Linked DNA regions of Astyanax mexicanus. The protein of the gene in region 1 purifies or fractionates together with the protein of each later gene. This does not show direct contact. Links are inferred from orthologs where the notes say so. Each region holds a gene or a part of one and is shown on either strand. Other genes may lie near its edges.

Evidence for each region. Proteins that work in one complex are often made in the same cells at the same time.
Region 2: the proteins of usp36 (region 1) and dgcr8 purify together in Homo sapiens (affinity purification with western blotting; 3 studies listed by BioGRID, with this or other methods). This does not show direct contact. The link is inferred for Astyanax mexicanus from reciprocal best matches to the Homo sapiens genes USP36 and DGCR8.

What each region holds. Positions count from the first base shown.
Region 1 is NC_064426.1:43,489,207-43,496,536, reverse strand, and holds the start of usp36 (ubiquitin carboxyl-terminal hydrolase 36), read right to left. Parts: upstream 3,212-7,330; 5' UTR 3,059-3,211; intron 721-3,058; exon of another isoform or gene 612-720; intron 1-611. Other genes in the region: timp2b (metalloproteinase inhibitor 2b), read right to left, coding at 6,369-6,566. UniProt on the Homo sapiens protein: Deubiquitinase essential for the regulation of nucleolar structure and function. Required for cell and organism viability.
Region 2 is NC_064429.1:36,412,760-36,420,051, forward strand, and holds the start of dgcr8 (microprocessor complex subunit DGCR8), read right to left. Parts: upstream 3,013-7,292; 5' UTR 2,888-3,012; intron 1,463-2,887; 5' UTR 1,031-1,462; coding exon 305-1,030; intron 1-304. Other genes in the region: tia1l (cytotoxic granule-associated RNA binding protein 1, like), read left to right, coding at 5,890-5,918.

The DNA of each region.
Region 1 (7,330 bases):
TACAGAAATTAAACTTAAAATGTTTCAGGTTTTAACAGATTACAGCACAAATCTGAGACTATTTTAGAAAATGACTAACACAGCCTAAACAGTACTTCTATTAACAAGATACATAATATTAAATGTTAAATTTAGGCAAGATGCAGACAATAATGTGAAAAGAATATACAATATAGACCAGGAATCCTGTCAGACATAGGCAACTAGCTCAGCTATTTTAAGGCTAAAAACCCAATATGACTAGTTGGCAACAGTGCTAACGTAAGCATGTTTTCTAATGCTATACTAATGCATTTTGCCTAAACCTGTGGGAAACATTAGCAACCTAGCTAGGTAACCTAGGTTGCTATAACACTATATTAAAACAGCAAAGAAATATTAAAAGATTAACTTTAAACTCGATAATTAAATAATAATGTCACAGATTAGGGTCGAACACGCGAAGAATCCTGTCAGAAAAAATGATCGTTAGCAACAGTGCTAACGCAGGCATGTTTTCTACCTTAGCTAGTCTATATTACATTATATCAACAAGCGACACAATATTAAATAGTTTAGAATAAGTTTTACGCTGTATAAATATATAATATAAAAAATGGAGCCTTACGGACCAGAAATCCTGTCAGGAAAAGGACCATTTAAAAGCTAAAAAGCCAAAATGACTAGTTAGCAACAGTGCTAGCTCAGCTTAACGCAGGCATGTTTTCTACCAGAGCTCGTGCACTAGGAAAGCTAGCAAGCAATGCTAAGCTAACGTTTTCGTTTTCTGGTGCCTACGTTTAAACCTGTGGGAATTATTAGCAAGCTAACTAAGCTAGCTAGCTCACTTGTAGCAAACTATATGACAGACCAACGAGCTACGCAATATTAAAAGATTATATTTAAGATAAATTTAATAAACAGACAATAATGTCACAAATTGGGGTCGAACATGCCAATAATCCTGTCAGAAAAATTATAGTTAGCAACAGTGCTAACGCATGCATGTTTTCTACCATAGCTCGTGAACTGGCTAACCTACCAAGCTAACTATCCTGACAGAAAAAAATATATTAAATAAACATTAATTTTCCTTTTCTAATGCATTAAAACAATATTTTTATCCAGCTTCAGGACTGATTTAGTTGTGCACACCAATCATACGTTGATACAACGTTATGTCTGTTTTATATTGAACTTTACTTAGCTACATAACTAACTTACAACGTGTAACATAGGTTGTTATATCGTGTAAATCGCAGTCTAAATAGACATTTAAACAATAATAATTATTATAATTAATTATATAATATTAACTTTCTCTAATAATTATATAATAATTTATTATAATAATTATAATAATTATTACTATTAAAAAAATAATAAAAAAAATATTATTTGAGAAGAGCACTAATATAAGCTTTTATCTAAAAGCATTAATGTGAGAGTAGTTAGAGTAAGAGCTAGAGTAAGAAAAGTCACAGCCATTTAAAACCTTTAAATGAACGTAGATTCAATGCATCTTATGTATGAATTTTTACACGAACCCATGCATTATTTTAGGCAATGGTTTATAAAGGTTGTTTAGATGTTGTTTTCCCATCAACTCTAAAAAAGGTAGGTAATGCAACGTTATTTAAATATTAAATGTTAATGTTTTATTTGCTCGCAGGGTGGTTCCACTGACAAACAACTACTAATCCTAATTTTAGCTAGCAGCATTAAGAACAAAGTGACAGTATATGTATCTAGAACAGGTAGAATTTGTCCAAAAAGTCAATATATGTATATGTATTTAGGAACACATTTAGCTGTAGCAAGCCACCTAACTAAACCCCACGCTGGCTACTCGTCCACACAGGTGAGGCCAAACATCAGCATCATACTCAACCACATGGCAGCGACTAGTCTGGATCAACCAACCTAGCTAACCTAACACATACACCAAAGCATAACATATATAAACTGATTATTCGTCCATATATAGGTTAATATGACCATATTTATATTTCCCTACGACACTAAAAGATACGGTGGTACAGGTATAATTATAGGTATAGATATTTAGCTAAAACACAGCGCTGCCTGGCCTAGCTGCTGCTTCCACAACTACTACTGCCTTACAGTGTACGAACACGGTGTTATGTCAATATGTGCTACCCCGCCAAAAACTGCTACCATAGTGTATTATTGAAATGTATCTAATATAGCTACTAAAATACGACAAGAATATTACACCATATTAAAACAACATGCTGTTTTCAAATATTTAAGTAGGATATGTGGATAGTTAAAAAGAATCTGAATTAAAGTAAAAGTTAAAACATTACTTTAGTTAGAGGTAGAGGTGATAATACAATACACATATATTAAACTGTTCAAGCAAATAATGACACTGGAGTTTTTTAAACTCTCTATAGCATGATTTTCATATTTGTTGAGAAAAATAATAAAATAATAATAATAACGATAATAATAATGATAATAATATTAATAATAATAATAATAATAATATTAATATTAATAACAATTAGAAGAAGAAGAAATACCACTGCTTGTCATGTTAACCTTGTTATGTAACTGCATATTTATGTTGCCCTGAGGCAAAACAAACGAATACATAAACAAATAAATAAACGCATAAACAAAAGATACGGTTTTAGTAAGACAATGAAAACAAAATAGCCAAAATATTAATAATTAAAAAAATAATACACATTGAAATGACAATGCAATAATATATATACATAAAGCAGCACCATGATATTTAGGTTTAATGAACCCAATGAAAATTATAGCTAAATCATTTATCATGGAGAAAACATTTTTTCTTCACAAAAATAAACACACCAGCGCATGCGCAGTGTAGGTAGGGAGCACATTTTGACGGGTAGCGCAATTTGACGCAACACCCCGGATCCGCAGCTGCGCCGTGTGCAGTACTGCACCACCACCACCACCCCGCCGCGGGAACGGGGGTTTCTTTATACCGATAAACCGAGCACGACACGAGCCGTTCACTGGAGATAACGTTGTGTAGATGTTTTAGTATGGGTTAAAAACACCGTACTGTACATACCCATCCGCGGAGCAGCCGGAATCGTTCAGTCTGCGGTACTATAAAGACCATCGGCGGCTCTGAAGTCCTTCATTTTGTTGCGCTCTCTCCCCCATGCTGCATTATCTGAGGGCGGGGCCTCCAATGATGAACGGAACACACCAGCCAATCAGCTGCGGGGAAAAGTCTGACGCGGCGCTTCATTCATATTTCTGTTGACCAATCAGAGGACGAGACTCAGCCAGCGACTGCTCTGATCACGTTTTCTTGTTTACTATGCTATAGGACATAATGTCCAAAAAAATAAAATTTAAACACTATAGTTCACTATATATATACAGCTCTGAAAAAATAAGAGAGCACTTAAAAATGATGATTTTCTCTGATTTTACCAAATTGAAAACATCTAGAGTAAAGGCATAAGGTTATCCAAAATCAGTGTGTAAGACTGGTGGAGGAGTTACGGTGGCCGAGAAAGCCCAGCGCAGTGCAAATTGAAAAGCGCTGCAAAAGCACAAAACACATCCATCAAAATTACAACACAGGCGCAGCAAATAGAAAAACGCGCTGCAAAAAGAAAAACGCGCTGCAAATAGAACCACAACACAACGGAAGTGGGTCACAACACAACGGAATTTTCCCGGGGGACCTTAAAAGATGCTGTACCAGCTGTATACAAAGGACAATAAGTGGCAAACAAGCTTCTGAAAAGTAAGTTATGTTTATTAAAAGTTCTGCTTCACAAAACGCCTTGTTTGCCACTTTTTGTCCTTTGTACACATAGTGAAGTCCGAGATGTTACTGAAGACGCAGCTTAGCTGGTACAGTATCTTTTAAGGTCCCCCGGGAAAATTCCGTTGTGTTGTGACTCACTTCCGTTGTGTTGTGGTTCTATTTGCAGCGCGTTTTTCTATTTGCAGCGCCTGTGTTGTAATTTTGATGGATGTGTTTTGTGCTTTTGCAGCGCTTTTCAATTTGCACTGCGCTGGGCTTTCTTGGCCACCGTACTACAAGATGCATGGAAAAAACTGTGATTAAAAAACAGGGTTATTCCACCAAATATTGATTATTTCTGAACTCTTAAAACTTTATGAATATGAACTTGTTTTCTTTGCATTATTTGAGGTCTGAAAGCTCTGCATCTTTTTTGTTCTTTCAGCCATTTCTCATTTTCTGTAAATAAATGCTCTAAATGAGAATATTTTTATTTGGAATTTGGGAGAAATGTTGTCTGTAGTTTATAGAATAAAACAACAATGTTCATTTTACTCAAACATAAACCTATAAATAGTAAAATCAGAGACACTGATTCAGAAACTGAAGTGATCTCTTCATTTCATCAACTTAAGTGGTCTCTTTGTTTTTTTTTTCCAGAGGTGTATATACACGTGAGTTTATATTGGCTGTGTGCCATATCATATCGTACACAATAATATTGCCAACATTTTTTAATATGGTGAACGATATTATACCCTGAAATATCGTACTATATCACCCACCCCTAATTAATTATCACATCAGGGCTCTACTTTTATACTGTTTTTATCAAAAGAAAAATTCACACTGTTCTCATTTCCCATTATGTATCTACTACAGACAGATTATATCTGTCCAGTATAATTTATTTTACTTTAATCCTGAATATATGGAGATATTTGAAGTGCATTGTTATTAGTATCATGGCATTCTGGATCATTGACTTCTGTTACAAATCTGATAAAATTCTTGTATTTTTTATATCTCAGTTAGGGGTACGTCATATATCGTATTGCAATTATAAAATTAAATTTTTATTTTGTTGCAGTAGTGCATTTTTTATTTTTTATTTAGTGTTTTATCGTATCGCCAAGAGTATTGTTATTGCAAAAATACCATGAAATATTGTACAGTACCGACACAGTACAGTCTAAATGTGTTTATTGAGGGGGGGTTCAGTTCCGTCTCTGTGTGTTGAGGAGTCTGACTGCCTGGTGGAAGAAGCTGTTGCAGTGTCTGGTAGTGGAGGCTTGGATGCTCCAGTATATTCTCTAAAACACTCTAGTCAAATATGTTTATACATACACACAATAAGAGTCCTTGGGCAAGACTCCTAACACTAAATTGGCCCAACTCTGTAATAGGAATAACCTGGTAAGTCACTCTAAATAAGATCATCAGATAAATGCTATAAATGTAAATGAAGTAAAGTAAAATTTAAGTCTAAAGTTGCTATTTTTAAATATAAAAAAGTAAGGAAAGTCTATATAGAGGTTTCAACTTAACAAAAAAGAAACAATATAATGTATATCACACAAAATCCCAAGACTCCATTAAGTGCTTTTCTTTTCCTTTATTTAAAACTGTTAAACCAACATGAATAATACAGAATTATGAAAGGCATGCACAGGTTAGCTCTCAAAGTCTTCCCAAGTGGTTCCAGCACCGGAAATCTCACACTTATTTATTTTTGTGATACTAAAAAAAGAAAAACAAAAAAAAAAACATTCAAACATTTGAAAAACAAACACAGTACAGGAGCATAGAAATAAAAAATACTAAAAAAACAATACCATGATATACAAAATGACTACATTAAACATAGGCTTCACAACCTTTTCCACACAATTGACGTTTGAATGTTGAATGTTGAAGATTATCGGACTGAAAGACTGGAGGAATACTGGAAATTATAAACATTAATCGCCTCAACTCTGGTTTAACTCTTAACAATAAAAACACAAAATTATAGAAAAATGTAAAAATAGGAATGGGGAAAAAGGGTATTCTATTTTTATTGTGTGAAAAAACAAGATAATGGAATGTTTAGATATAAATTAGAAATGTTTGTATATATATATTACAACATACATAAACTAGCATATCACCAGATTGCATTATTGTCATAAATTTTAAAGGCGTCCTATAGTAACATTACTTTACATTACATAACTCCACCTCCCGAATAGAGCATTTATCTAATCATTATCATCTTAAAAGCATTTAGCATGGATTAGATAAAATAACTATTAGCAATTTTTCATGCTTGCTGTGATTTAATTACCTCCCAAATATAAAAAATAGAAAAACGCTAAAAGTGGTACTAGCTTTTTTTAAAAATGTATTTTCTCTACAGCGTAAGGTCACAGCCAGGTGCTACTGGGGACTCAAAGTGCTTAAGAAAGTCCGAGAACTTCACCTCTGCCATATCCTTTCATCTCGTGTTATGTAACAGGAACTGTGGTGTAAAAGTACTAAATACAGGTGAAGAAGGGCAGGATTATGTTAAAGGGTCCGTAGCAGTGTTTAGAGGCCTTTCTAAAGCGAGCTCTGGAGTGTGCTGCTGTCTGCAGGTTTACGGATCCTCGATGTCCATGAAATCGGTCTTGGGCGGGGCGGCGCCGCGGTACCAGGCGCAGGAGTTATCGTTCCTCTTTATGCAGGTGTAGTGCTGAGTCTGGGGACCCGCCACAGTGCTCTCCGTGATCCAGTCCGTCCATAGACACTCTACTGGATCATTAACCGCACAGGGAACAGAGGCACAGCGAACGATCTGTCAGAAAACGCATGAGAGAAACAGACGTTACAATAAAGTACAAAGATTAGAATATTATATATCGCATTTGCAGAGTTTCCTCTAACATTAGGATTTTAAATGCCAAACAATGACTGATTTATTTTGTGTTATATAACATCAGAAATAAGGATACAACGAATATTTGGTAAACGGAAACATTTAGACAAAAAAATGGTAAAAAGTATTTCCTCTAACTAGGAATTTTAGGACGTTTTGAAGGCAAACTATCAAATCAAATCATCAAATCAAATTTATTTGTATGGCGCTTTTTACAACTGATGTCAAATTAATCTGTGATCACATTGCTGTAAACTGCTTTGTGACATCATATTGCAGCATTTTCTCTTACATTAGAATTTTTTAAAAGTCAAACAATGACCGATTAATTTTATGTCATATTGCAGAGTTTCCTGTAACCTTACGATTTCTTAAGTTAAACAATGACAGATTTATTTTATTTCATATATTTCAATGTTTTCTCTAACAGTAGGATTTTTTAAAAGCTAAATAATGACAGATTTATTTTGTCATATTGCAGCACTTCCTCAAACATTAGGATTTTTTTAATCCGGACAACTACCAACTTATTTTACGTCATACTGCAACATTTCCTCTAACATTATTAGGATTTTTTTAAAGCAGCAGCTGGTGTTAACAACGTATCAACATAGGTTATGTATTGAATAAGTATTGAAGTATCAACACATTTACAAAACTATATATATATATATATATATATA
Region 2 (7,292 bases), on another chromosome or scaffold:
TTATTTATTTATTTTTTAAGTTTGAGGGTTTATTGTGTCAGTACCTAAAATATGTCAGAGAAAGCTTTCTAAAAGTTACTAGATGTTTTCACTGTTTACAATTGTGTTTTGTTTGCTTGTTTCTGGTTGCACTTAAATTTCCTTTTTGTAGTTAAAGTGAAAACTCTTAAACTTGTTTTTAACCATTGCTTTGTCATCTGTAGTTTGTATAGTCTGTAATTTTTAGTAGGGGAAAAAAAAAATCGATTAAAAATCGAAAATCAGATTAAGAAAAGAAAACTTGCGCCAGAGACGTTTCACGTACCTCGTAGGCGTACCCGAGATCCTCCTCGTTGGTTCGCTCCTGCTGAACTATCATCTCTGAGGTGAACTCACTCTGCTCTCCGTCGTCTCCTTCCAGAAAGTTCTCGCTGAAGTCCTCCAGCTCGTCCAACACCGCAAACTCCACCTTGTTCTCCTGCTCGACTTCGGCCTCCTCGCTCTTCCTGTCTACCTGCCCTGAGCTCACCTGCCCCGCCCCCTGCTCTACACCCTCACCGCACACCTGTCCGTTCCCTACGTCCTGCTCTCCGTCCCCTAACTGTCCTAACTGTCCCGCGCCCGTGTACAGGACCTTCCTGTCCTTGCTCCTAATGCTGCTGCTGCTGCTGCTGCTGCTGCTGTCCCCGCCGAAGCTCACGCTGATCTTAACGTCTCGGAGGAGCTTTAGGTCGGGGAGGAATTTGGTGACGGGGGGCGCGTGGCGGGCGGTCCGGGGACAGGAACCGCCGGGACCGCAGGGGGCGTCGGCTGCTGCTGCGATGCTTCGCTTGTAGCTTAAGGAGGCGGAGCCTTTGGTAAGAATGGGAGCGTCCCTGTCCTCTGCCGGGGTGAGCGCTGGTCCATCACCACCAGAGCTAACGTCCATGTCCTCGGCGTCACTGGACGTTTGCAGGGGAGGTGGTGGAGGTGCTTTACACGTACCGTTCCCTGACCCTTCGTCACTGGGGGGCTCCAGCGGGAGAGGGGGAAAGAACTCGCTGACGTCCATCGTCCAACTGCTAACGCTAATGCTAGCGCTAATGCTAACACTGATAAAAACACTGCTAAAATAAACACCAAATGTCTGGCTGGGAATATGGACAATAGGGAGAATCCTACACTAACAGATAGATAATAATAATAATAATAATATTAACAAACAGCCCTACAAATAACTACACAAACCAGAGCGACACCGTCATAACCATCATCATCATCATCATCATCAGTAGCCGGCTGCAGAATTGAACCACGCTCACGTGCAGACCTCTCGTACAGTGGTGAATATGCTAAGCTGACTACATTGTTCTTTTCATTAATGTAGACAGCTTTTTACAATTCACTGTCTCAATTATTGGAAATCACAATGCATTCAGCTTAAACCTCGCCCACGTCTAAGCACTGTCCATCCTGTCGCATGAGGCGCAGTCCTTTGCCACAGCTGCAGGAGTCAACAGAGAGAACACAGACATTGATGTACGTTACTTTACATGATTTAAGACATTTAGGACATTCAAGCTTTTTTCTCAGACCACATTTCTTCTGTCATTCCACTTTTTAATAATGCGTTCCACATTAATTTTCTGCAATAATTATTGAGACAATATATTGTCCTTTAAAACACAGTTATCGTAACAGTGTTATGGTTCTCATAATCATTAGATATTTTCTCTGAAGTATTGAAGCATGCCAATAATTTGACCCTCCTGAAACAGATGAACATCTTTTCCCTGACTACACAATGATTATTTTCACATGGTTGTTAACAAATGAGAAGCTACTCCCTGCATCAGTTAGGGTTAAACAACCCATGCTGTAATTCTTATCCAATGGGGGCTTTTTACCTATTAGCTTAAATAAATCCATGCGGCAATATGATTATATATATATATATATATATATATATATATATACAGCTTTGGAAAAAATAAGAATATGGAATATAATCAAGAGGAAGATGGAAGATCACAATCCATCAAACCAAGCTGAACTGCTTGAATTTTTGCACCAGGAGTAAAGCAGCATAAAGTTATCCAAAAGCAGTGTGTAAGACTGGTGGAGGAGAACATGCCAAGGGTTATTTCACCAAATATTGATTTCTGAACTCTTAAAACTTTATTAATACAAACTTGTTTTCTTTGCATTATTTGAGGTCTGAAAGCTCTTTTTTTAGCCATTTCTAATTTTCTGCAAATAAATGTCCTAAATGAGAATATAAAATAAAACAAAAATGTTAAACCTATAAATACCTATAAAAACCTATAAATAGCGAAATCAGATAAACTGATTCAGAAACTGAAGTGCTGTCTTAATTTTTTACAGAGCTGTATATACAAATTCAGTCCTGCAACAATACTTACCAAATATAGATAATACACATAATGCACAAGTAATAACGCAATATAACTACTTTTTAAATAATATAATAATATATTTTGCAATATTTAAAATAGATCTAAACCCCTAACAGACTCCACTATGAATTACTTACTTACTTAAATTAAACAAATATGAAAAACAAATTATATGGAAATGAATCAACAGGGAGTCAAAATTCATAAATTAACCAACTCAGGAGCTATTTAATGACTGCGCACAGCTCAAACAGCCTCTCATTTACTCTATATACTAATTAAATCATTATATTTATATATACCTAATGCTATATTCGCAAAAATATAGAAATATTCAGTTTATAAATCAGCCAGTAATCATCCACAGGATCCTAACGTAGCTTAAACCCGAGCTGCAGCAGCAGGTTAGCATTAGCCCGACCCGCTAAAACCCGGGTTTACCCCCGACAAACCAATTATTCACAATAAATTAACCCATAAAAACAGTGTAGAAAATGTGTGTAAACTCTTACCCACCTATCTAACCTCCTAATATCAGGGAATATTCAGTAAATCAGGCTTTTATTCCCCGGTTCTGCAGCTCTGAGGCGGCCGGCCCCCTCTCTCCGCCATCTTCTGTAGCCTCCGAGATCCAGCTAACAGCTCGCCGCCCGAATCGACTCTTTTCAACCGGATCTTTTCAGTGAATCAATCGAGTCGAATCTAATGGAAGCACATTTCCGCCGGAAAAAGTAAGTCATAATTATGAAATAATACCCCCAGACTTACCATCTCATTATTATGAGATAATACTCCAGACTTACAATTTCATATTTATTAGATAATACTTCAGACTTACAATCTCATTATTATGACTTAATACCTCATATTTATGAAATAATACCCCCAGACCTTCCATCTCATAATTATGACTTAATATCTCATAATTATGAGATAATACCCCAAACTTACAATCTCATATTTATTAGATAATACTTCAGACTTACAATCTCATTATTATGACTTAATACCTCATATTTATGAAATAATACACCCAGACTTACCATCTTATAATTATAAGATAATACCCACAGACTTACCATCTCATAATTATGACTTAGTAGCTCATAAGAATGAGATAATACCCCCCATCTTATAATTATGACCTACCATTTCATAAGTATGACCTTCCATCTCATAATTATGACTTACCATTTCATAATTATGACTTACTCTCTCATACTTATGACTTACCATCTTATAATTATGACTTAGTAGCTCATAAGTATGACCCTCTCATAATAATGACTTAATAGCTTATAATTATGGCTCACCATTTTAAAATTATGACTTAGTAGCTCATAATTTTGAATTATTATATCATAATTATGACATAGAAGCTCATAATTATGAGATAATACCCGCAGACTTACAAAGTCATAATTATGACTTAGTAGCTCATAAATGTGACCTTTTAATAATTATGACTTAGTAGCTCATATGTTTGTATGTATGGTTGCCTCTCAGAACGTCCTTCAGGTGGACAGTGGTTTCCGGTTGAGAGTATGCTGTGCACAAACGTTAAACCCTCTTTTTTAAATTAACAGGTTAAATAAAATGATAGATCTATCGAAACTAATAAAAAATAAATAATAAAAAAGGAATGTGGCCAGCGTCGGACAGTTGTAGTAGTGTCGTCTGCATCGCTTGATTCTTACAATAAATAAAATACAATATATAAGTAAGTCAGCAAGTTTCGGGTTTATATATCGGCCAATGCCGGCAAAAAAAACCCCAAAACAAACAAACAAGCAAAAATTATCGTCCCATACCGACATAATGACAATATCATTGAGCAAACCTATTAATAACGTCTAGAGGTGTACTTAGTTCAGTAGTTTTTGCAATAATATATTTAAATATTTTATTTAATTTATGTGTCTGATTAGTTCCAGCACCGCTAAATCTGAACCGACTCTACGAGTCACTGAAAAACTCAGAATCGATGCGCTAAATTGAATCGAACGCCTCCTCACGATTTTGGCGCACTCCGCCTCTTTGCCGGTGCGGCGTGCCAGAATGCATCACGTGGCAAATACTGCACCCCAAGGACCCTTGGGGCTCTGTCGCGGCTGCCTGATTAAAAACTCGTGCCACCTCAACCTCCCACAACAAAGAATGATTAAAAATAGTCGTTTTCCCCCAAAACTTTCCTGCTCCAGAGTTCTGAATATACGGGTTTCCCTGCCCTAACACACCATTACACTGATACAGGGATTAAAGAAACATGCATCAAGAGGAAATGTTCAAATAATTCATTTAATTAATTATAATTGCAGTATTAATCATAGTGTAACTTAAACCCATGTGTGGTATTAAATAGTTATTTTTAGAGGTCCAAAGTCATACTGTATTGTACATTTTTAAAATATCAATATCTCAAAAATAGTATATAGTAATCTGACTTATATAATAAAAATGTATATTAACACTATACGGCATGATTTTTGACATTTACATTACATATTTTAGATTTTACTTCAGGTAAATAATAACTACTACTGCATTATTAGCCTTATTCCCCTAACAAATGTGGTCTAACTGTATGCTCTAGACCCAAAGGCAAAAAATAATAAAAAAAAACAATATTTTAGTAAGAAAAATACAAAATATTGTCATTAAAGAGCGACATATTCTCTTCCATTTGATTTCTTTTCCTTTTATGCACAATCATATTTATTTATAGTATTTCACGTGTAAACATTTTTACTTAATTTTTACCTTTGTTACTTTACCAATTAGTGGTTTTGACTTTTGAACATGGTTGTTTTATTCTATAACATGCAGACAACATTTCTCCCCAAATCCAAATAAAAATATAATTTCACCAAATCTAAATGTCATTTAGAGCATTTATTTGCAGAAAATGAGAAAAGGCTGAAATAACAGAAAATGTGCAGAGCTTTCAGACCTCAAATAATGCAAAAAATCAAATTCATAAAGTTTTAAGAGTTCAGAAATCAATATTTGGTGGAATAATCATAGTTTTTAATCACAGTTTTTTTCATGCATCTTGGCATCATGTTCTCCTCCACCAGTCTTACACACTGCTTTTGGATAACTTTATGCTGCTTTACTTCTGGTGCAATGATTTTTTAAAATTAGCTTTTTATAAAAAAAAAAATAATAACGAATGAATGAATTAATTAATTAATTACAAAAATTACATGTACAAAAGACAAAAGGAAATCGTTGGCTTCAGCCAATCAGATCGCGACAGGCAGGAAAACGGAGGGGTGCAGGATTCGCCGGTACACCGATATCGGCGTGCCGCTCCGGAGTCTGTGGCGCATATGATTGGCTGGCCGGCCTGGCTCGCGACGTCACGCGGCTACGTATCTCCAGTAAGGTTAGAGGAAGTTATTCTGGCGTTTTCTCTCTTTAGCACAAAAGACTCGGAGCCGGTAGATCAACCCGCCCGGACCCGCAGAACCCCCGCCGATTCCCCGCCGCTCCCGCGCTCTCAGCCCGCAGCATGATGGACGACGACCAGCCCAAGACCCTGTGAGTACCCGCGAGCCCGTCCGCTCGCGCGGGCCGCTCCGCGCGCTGCAGGAGAACAGCAGCGCCATGCTATGCTAACGGCTAAGCTAACCACGGCTAGGCTAGGCCACCGTGGCCACAGTTAGCTTAGCTTAGCATAGCCTTTAGCTTAGCATCATGCGGCAGATAAAGCCGTAAAACTCGAATTCGGGTACAATCGGGCTGAATAATCGCGCCAAAGTGAAAATAAATCGCGATTAAAATGGATAATCGGCTGCTTTCCTGTATTAAAATAGATTAGAAGCGTCAATTTAACGGAATTTTAATAACTAGGCTAGCCAGGAGGCTGCTCAAAGCGCCTAAACTCGACTCAAATCGAATCGAATCAGCGCGATTTGGAGAAATCCGAGCTTAAACTGTCTTTAAATCACACTTAGCTTATAAAACAAACATTTGACTTCATTAAAAACATTTTTAATGGATTATAAGTCAAATCAGAGCAGGATAAAATGCCGAATTAAATCTTAAACTGAAGCTAAAACTGAGCTGGACTCGCCGGCCTTGTTTGAGCTTCCGAAATGAATCAGTTTCAGTTATTAGTCGTTTCAACTCTTAAACAACCTGATTAATCAATTTAATCGGTTTTTAGCATTAGCTGAGTTAGTGTTAGTTAATTGGGGTCTGCTCGAGTATTTGCACGCTTTGTTAGTTCTCTAGTTTCACTTTCTGCTAGACTAGCTCTGATGGGTAACTATCTAACTACATTTGAAGCTGTTGAGTCGCGTGTGACGCAAAAAATGTCAATTTTCGTGTATAAACACTTTTTGTTTTAAATAAATCTAACGTAAATATACACTAATAAAGCTCCCGTGCCTGTAACGTTTTTAAAGCGTTTTTTAAAAAGCGATTTAAAGCGTTAAATCGCCATTCCCACATAAATTATGGCTTCAATCATGATTCATTTGTGAAAACGTGGCAGAAATGAAGTTCAGGTATAGTTTGGGGTGGTTAAGATTAGGGCTGCATTTATATTATGTTTCATAATGTAAATAATTTTAAATCTGTTTTACTTTATTTTGCTGTCCTGTATTAAGAAATATTGTAATTGCCTTTGCTATGGAGCTTGTCATGTGTTTTACATCAACTTAATTCCAGAATAAACTTGTATAGGTCATTTTTCTGCAGAAGGGTGACCCTCAAAAGGGCAAATTTATGTGCAAATTAGCTTTTAAAACTATCACAATTGAAAGGTGCAGAATGCATTTTTTTAGTTTAAGTGAAATACCAGAAAAATAATTCAATTTTATAATGTAATGACAGTTTTCTTAAGCATATTGAAAAGTTTTCCATCCTACACTGGCTGTAGAGTTCATATTACGTTTTTTTTTAGAAAGC